Linked DNA regions of Danio rerio. The protein of the gene in region 1 purifies or fractionates together with the protein of each later gene. This does not show direct contact. Links are inferred from orthologs where the notes say so. Each region holds a gene or a part of one and is shown on either strand. Other genes may lie near its edges.

What was found.
Region 2: the proteins of slc27a2b (region 1) and saal1 purify together in Homo sapiens (co-immunoprecipitation; 3 studies listed by BioGRID and IntAct, with this or other methods). This does not show direct contact. The link is inferred for Danio rerio from reciprocal best matches to the Homo sapiens genes SLC27A2 and SAAL1.

The regions. Positions count from the first base shown.
Region 1 is NC_133200.1:34,731,500-34,735,330, reverse strand, and holds part of slc27a2b (very long-chain acyl-CoA synthetase precursor), read left to right. Parts: intron 1-3,274; coding exon 3,275-3,469; intron 3,470-3,558; coding exon 3,559-3,649; intron 3,650-3,831. UniProt on the Homo sapiens protein: Mediates the import of long-chain fatty acids (LCFA) into the cell by facilitating their transport across cell membranes, playing an important role in hepatic fatty acid uptake.
Region 2 is NC_133200.1:8,892,032-8,895,862, reverse strand, and holds part of saal1 (protein saal1), read left to right. Parts: intron 1-1,606; exon of another isoform or gene 1,607-1,655; coding exon 1,656-1,818; exon of another isoform or gene 1,819-1,924; coding exon 1,925-2,007; intron 2,008-3,732; exon of another isoform or gene 3,733-3,743; coding exon 3,744-3,831. UniProt on the Homo sapiens protein: Plays a role in promoting the proliferation of synovial fibroblasts in response to pro-inflammatory stimuli.

The DNA.
Region 1 (3,831 bases):
TTGCTAGCTGAAGATTTCTCTTTATAGCCAAGAGTTGAACAAGCTGTGTTGTTAAGCTGTTACGTTCTCCAGAAAGCAATGATGAAAGAAAGAATCCATATATATAATGTGGAGCCATTCAAAATGACCTCAAAACACACAGCAAACATACAAGCTGCGTCCCAAATCCCATACTTATGCACTATTCTACGCCATTTTGTAGTATAAATAGTGTAAGTAGTGCGTTCACACTGAAAACTCTAAAAATAATAAGTGCACTTTAATTACCCGGATGATGCACTCATTCAGCCGCTAAAATTAAGTGTGTAATGATGGACACTTCACGCACTCAACGACCGCAGGTTTGCTTACGTAGCGGAAGGGGCGGAGCTATCGGACGCACATGTTGAATAACTTTATTTAATTTGGATGGTGAAAGCAAAATTCTTTTACGAGAGTGATTATAGCACCTCCCGATAGTGATTGCGGCAATACTCACGGCAGGTATTATTTGATAATTCGGTCGTTTATTTCACTGATATGGCGACTGTCAAACGTCATCAGGAAAACGGTTTGAATTTCCGCTTAGTAAAAAAAACATTAGTGTGCCATTTGGGACGACACTACATACATATACTATCCTGTTGAGTGTGTAAGTGCATAAGTACATAGTGCATGAGTGCATAGTGTATAGTGTGCCATTTGGGACGCAGCTACAGACTTCCGCCTTTCTGAAATCTTCCATTTGTTTTTTTTTTCAAGGAAAGGTCATTAACCCTTAAAGGGGCACTTTTTTTGGTCCACATCTTGTATTGAATAATATGCTGGCACAACTCTAAAAAATAGTAAGAATCAATTAAAATGATAATGATAACTATAGCAAAATTAGCATATAGCTAATTTTGATGAATTAGCTCTAACCTTTAACAGTTTTTCCTTCTTTTTACGCGGTTATACGCTCATTATATTTCACACGTGAGGTGAGTGAAATTGAAATTAAAATACAAAAGGTACTGAGCCATTACTACAAGTAGAAAAACTAAACTAAACAACAATTATACTTTAAAGGAGAACATAGACGTTTCGAAAACAAACTGAACTGAAACTACATTAATAAAACTAAACTTGCGGCTTAATTTATTTAATTTGCGGGACTTTATTTATTTTTATTATACTTTTAGTGATCTGCTTGAGGTAGGTCAATTTATTTTTATGCTTTTGATGAAGCAGCATTCAACTTAAGCTCTTTAGACCATGCACCAGACCGTTTCTGAGTGTTTCGCTGCAATGTCTTAAAATAAATAATTATTTAGGTCAATTTTCATTATTCATTAATGTTTTAATATTTGTTTATTATTATGTACAATAATTGAGACATAAAATGAGATATGATGTAATATGAGATATAATGTAAATAAAAACAAATGAAAAAGCTTATTTAATGACTGTCTTAGTCCTATCAAAACAGCAAACGCTGAACATCTCTCTATTTAGGCTAAAATATTGCTTTGTTTATTTATTTAGGCCTACTTATTTGTACCGAATGTTTGTGCTTTCATTTTAGTTGTCTTTTAATTCTTCATTTCTACTTTCCAAAGTGAATCCTCATTGCACTTAACTAGTGTACAATGATAATAAAGGGTGTTAACAAATTTTGATTATGATTAATGAAGGAATTATAATGCTTTGTTTTATCATTTCATCTTCATTTATAAGCACAGTAGCATATTTACAGCTGCTGTATAGGCTATTTCTGTCCATTTGCATCACGTCCCTTTGTGCCCCCTGGCGGCATATTCACAAACTGCGGTCATACATTAAAAACACATGCTTGCCCATTTAAAGTGCCGTCGGTATAAGCCACGGCGGTAATGGCCACATTGGTCAACCAGTGGTTATGATGCCTGTTAAAGGGTTAAAGTAGTCTAGCACACTGAACTAATGCAAACCCAAATCAGAAGTATGGAAACGCAAATGAAAAAAAGAACAAAGGGATTTCTAAATTTACTTTGACTAGTAAAGTCAAATCGTCTGAATCAAGTCTGATCTTTATTTTGTATTTTATATTGGATTCATCTCAGGGGATTGGGTGGGCCATTCTACAGCTTGATTTTTTTTCTCTGAAAGCAAGTTTCCTTGGCTGTGTTTTGGATCCTTGTCTTGCTGAAAAGTCCACCCTGGATTCATCTTCCTCATCCTGCTAATGTAAATGTTTGACTAAAGCAGGTAATATTCATTTACACTGACGATGGGCAAAGGTTTGCAGAAGAACTTCTGAGGAATTTCAGGTGCAGTCTGGGCTTTCACTGCCTTTCTACACCTTCCTTTTTTCATGTGTCCAAAACTTTTTTCCTGTGCCATTTCATTTTGTTAGACAGAACTTCATTTGTTAATCAGTAATATTTGTTAGAATTATATTTGCATATATGGATTTCTCTGGTCGTATCCAACATCTGGGGAAAATTTCAAGTCAACGGCATCTTTAGAAATATGTTTTCTGACTAAAGTAGTGACGTGTTTAATACTTATTTCCCTCACTGTAACTTGAAAATAAAGAGAATGCACAGATCAAATAAAAAGCTTTGCTGCTGACTTTTTTCTCAGAAAACATATTTCTAAAGGTTCCGTTGGCTTGAAATTTTCACCAGATGTTGGTATCAACCTAAGAAATCCATATATACAAAGACAACAAAACTTATTAGATTACAAATGAAGTTATGTGTAATAAAATGAAATAACCCAAGAAAAAAGTATTGAACACATGAAGAAAGGGAGGTGTAGAAAGGCAGTGAAGGCCCAGACAGCAGCAGAAATCTCTCAGTAGTTCTTCAGCGACCATCGTAAATGAATATCAGCTGCTTCATTCCAACATCTACATCAGCAGGAGGATTAAGATGAAACCAGGGAGGACATTTCAGCAAGACAATGATCCTAAGCACAGCCAAGGAAACTCTCAAATCAAGAAAGAAAATCAAGCTGTATAATGGCCCAGCCAATCACCTGATGTAAATCCAATTGAAAAAGAAATCAAGATCAGATTTGATTCAGACGATTTGATTGTGACACTCTGTTGAAGTCTGTGAAAATATCACAGCTGAGAAATGCATGTGACTTCATTCTCCATATGAGAGGTGTCTTTAAGCTGTCATCACAAAGTATTAAATACATTTCAATAGTTCAGTGTTTTCTCCTTTTCCCACTTTTTTAATGCCCTTTTGGTTTTTCTGCTCCTCCTCTGTGCTCTATCTTTATAATATGCTGTTTTTTCCTCATGTTTGTTCTCTCGCTCTACAAGTGTGTTAGTGACCAAGTGCACAACGTCAGGATGGCCATTGGGAATGGCATCCGGCCGGATATCTGGAGGACGTTCATAAACAGATTCGGTCATGTTGAAATCAAAGAATTTTACGGCTCAACTGAAGGAACTCTGGGCTTCTTGAACTACGCTGGCAAAATTGGGGCCGTCGGTACTGTCAATTCTTTTCATAAGGTAAACTACCCACAATTCAATACTGTTCCCTCATTCATCATGGGAGCTGGACAAAAATGACTTATGTGCGCCAATTTGTGTGGTTTTAGAAACTGTACCCGTATGTCTTCATCAAGTTTGATCATGAGAAAGAGGAGCCCGTCAGAAACGCTGATGGATTTTGTATTGAAGTTGCAAAGGGCAAGTAATATGGAGCCAATAATGTGACAAAAGGATTTGAATTTGAATTATTGACACGTGTTGTTTAAAAAAAACTAAATATCAAATGTCATATGTTTTTAGGTTTAAGTCTTTTTCAAAATAGACTATAGCCAAATAGACTAGGGGTACTATTTTAACAATTTAGGTGCAAAATCTAAAGG
Region 2 (3,831 bases), about 26 Mb from region 1:
GAGTATGGCGGGAAGTTTCGCAAGTCTCCGGATGCCCGCAAACGAGTGATGATCTCCCGGTAATCTCGCATCTCCCTCCCGGTCCTCAAATAGGCATCGTCGCGCACCCTTCTCACCCCTCCCCACCGCATCTCTCCTCAGACACGTCGCGCGCGCACCCTGTCAATCACCACCAAACCACCACCTCTCCTGACAGTTTAGCGGGAAGCTGCAAAATAAACCCTGACACTCTGACTAATGTAAGGAGAGTTTACTCACACATGACTAGTTTTAGCTCTTTTGATCCGATTAGAAACTTTGCAGTGTGAAAGCGAACCGCTCCAAGAGCAAAAATGTAACAATTGTAATCTCTGTTTCGGAACAACTGAATCGATTCACAGGTGTGAAAGCACCCTTAGAATATCACTTACCAGTTTGATAATGATTTGATCAGCTGTAGTTAGAAATATGCTGTTTTAATCTTCTAAGCAAGGGCTTATTATGCAGTCCTGGCGCCATCTTGTGGATAGACAACGTCAACCAGCTTTGGCTAATTGATGCCAACGTGCTGTCTCCCAGAAAGGATAAATATTTTAAAATAGGCATTTTATCTTATAAATAAACTGCATAGTTGCAATCTACACAACTACATTTTCGACTAAAAAAGCTTTAAAAGTACATTATGTTGTCTAATAGCTGCAATATTTGTCAAACTGTAAAGTGTCCTCTTGTCGCTGTATGTGGGCGGAGTAATACAGAAGAGTGAGGAGGCTGTACATATGCTGTTATTGCAGAATATGGCACGGCTATCAGCCAATCAGATTCAAGAACCAGACAAAACTGTTGTTTAAATAAAATATTATAGATTATTATATATAATATTTACAACTATCAAAATGTGATATTTAGTAAGTACATTAATTTAAGTGTTACGTCAGGGAGTAACACCAACAACTCAGGTATATGCAGGTTTATTCAAAGTCAGGCAAGCGATGGTCAACACAGGTGCAAACAGGTATTTAGAAACAGTCCAGAATCACAGTCGAATACAGGCTAGAGGTCAGAAAGGCAGGCGGCAGGCAAAGACAAAGAGGCTAACAAGGCTAACGGTCGGTACACAAGATAACAAGACAGGCAAAACCCGTTGTAGTGTTACTAGTGACAGATAACAAGACTCGGCAAACTGAAGGGGTGAATGTGTGGCTTAATTAGTGTGTGTTAATCAGTCTCTGACAATCTTCAGGTGGTGTGAATGTAATCAGTCTAGATGAGGAAGCATGTGCGAGTGTGACCGGAGTGCATGTATGAATATGTAGTCCAGAAATGGTGGATTTGTAGTCCATGGTATTTGTAGGTGCAAACCAGCGATCTTATGGGAAATGATCGCTGGTAATCATGACAGTAAGAAACAAAAACATGGTGTTTTAAAGAAAACACAAATTCTAAAAATATTTATATATTAAAAAATGTAAAGGTGAACATTTATTAATAAATACTTCTGCTTCAATCAACTGATTATCAACTTGTATCAATTACAGTGAATTAATAGTACATATATACATATAATTATAATGCAGTTACGTGATGTGTGTGAAAACCTTTCAAACTCTTTTAATCACATGGTTACCTGTGTCTGTGAAGTTTGTGGACTCTTCCATGTGTCTGTATCTCCGCAGTGGATTTGCTGTTGAAGGTTGGGGAGTTGCTGGATAAGCTCTTCGATGAGGATGAGGAGCTGATGAAGAGCTGGGTGTCCACCTCACACAGCGGGACTGACCTGCAGACAGACAACCAGCCGGACATCCTGTCCTCTCTGCTGGAGGCCGCCAAGCAGCTCAGGTAAGACGCACAGTACAGGAAAACCTGCCGAGGGGATTACCAACCAGCGTTTTAGCTGGAAATCTGAGTTTAGGGTGATGGAAATGTGTGTTTGTGTGTGTTTTAGATCAGAGAGTCCGGAGGCTCTGGAAGTGTATCTGCATTCACTTCAGCTGCTGACTACAGTAGAGGAGGGCATGCAGGCTCTGGGTGAGATACACACACACACACACACACACACACACACACATTTTTTTATTTGTTTGTTTTTCTGTGTGGTTTATGATGACTTTTACTGAACATAATGATTTTTATATTGTACAGACTGTATATTATCTTACCCCATCCCTCACAGAAAAGTAGTGGCTAATTTCAAATCTCAAAAAACTCTGTTTAGTACAATTTAAGTCTTTTGATTTATGAGAACACAATGTACATGTTGTAGTTCGGTATCAGTCTTTTATTTGTTTTAAAAATGTTAATAATTAACCTTTATCCGGCCCGGATTGGCTAATCGGGAGGACCGGGAGAATTCCCTGTAGGCCGGTCTGTTTTTTGGCCGCGAGGGCCGGTGTCCCTAGCTGCTTGCACTCTCAGCAGTCACACTTTTTACTTCAATTTATTTATTTGGCAAAGCTTCACTCTTTTTATTCATTATTTTGCCGCAGTGCAGCTTCTTTTTATTTATTTTCTCGCAGCCCCGTGAGAAAAATGCAGCCTGCAGGTTAACTAACGTTAATGATGATAATGTAACTATCGACCCCAAACAGCAGCACCTTAGTGAATATAAGAATTCGAATAAAATGAAAAATACACCTGCTCAATGAAAATCAAATGATTCACTACATTAATAAATCTGACATAACTTGATCAGAAATCTAAAAATGGGAGAAAAAGATTGAGCCACCAAAAGAAAGTAGTGCTGTGTCTTAAGGGTCGCAAGTCATTAATTATTTTTTACTCTCACTGTAATAGCGCCATTGTGGTCCAGTGGTAAGCACGTTGCGTTTCAAAGCCGCGGACCCGTGTTCGAATTTCCCCTGAAAAATTTTTTTTTTCATTTTTATTGTTAAGACATAAAATACTGTTAGGGCTGTTGAACATTTGAATTTCTAAAGCAGCAGTTTTCTTGAAAAATACGTGATAGTGCCATTAGAAACTGAACTGAGGTGGGCCGGTCTGGCTTGAAACTCCAGGGCTGAAAATGAGTCCCACTCCGGCCCTGACCGGTATATAATGATTTATTTATTCATCTAAATTATTTAATCATTTTCTTCCGCTTAGTCCAGGGATGTTCAAGCTCGGTTCTGGAGGGCCAGTGTCCTGGAGATTTTAGCTCCAACTTGCTTCAACACACCAGCCAGCAAGTTTCTAGTATATCTAGTTAGTGCTTGATTAGCTGTTCAAGTGTGTTTGATTAGGTTTGGAGGTAAAATCTGCAGGACACCGGCCCTCCAGGACTGAGTTTGGACACCCCTGGCTTAGTCCCTTAATTATCAGGATTTGCACAGCGGAATGAGCCGCCAACTATTCAAGCTTATTTTTTATGCAGCGGATGCCCTTCCAGCCACATCCCAGTACTGGGAAATCATTCAAATTATTGTATTAATATTAATTTTATATAATATTAATAAATTATATCTTTTTATCATCATAATTTTTGTTATTTTAAAGCCCTAAATTTGTTTTATGACTATGATGCTGATAAAATGTTGCAATTATGATAAACATCTCACTTTTCTTCAAATCAGTAACCGTTTATTTTACACATTTATCCTTACACATTTTATGTGGTTACTAGGGCAATTACAGTAAAATGTGCATAATTGCATGCAAAAAAAACAAAACAAACCACCAATGCTATAGTTAGATTTTTTTTTTAAATGTATTATTATTAATATTGTTTTTTTTTTTTTCTTTTGGTCTGATTTGTACCTGATCTGCAGTTTCAGATGAGTCGTGTGGTTCTGCAGTGTGGACGTTCGTCTGTGAGCTGCTCTGTGAGGATTTCTGTCAGCCGGACGATCCACCGCT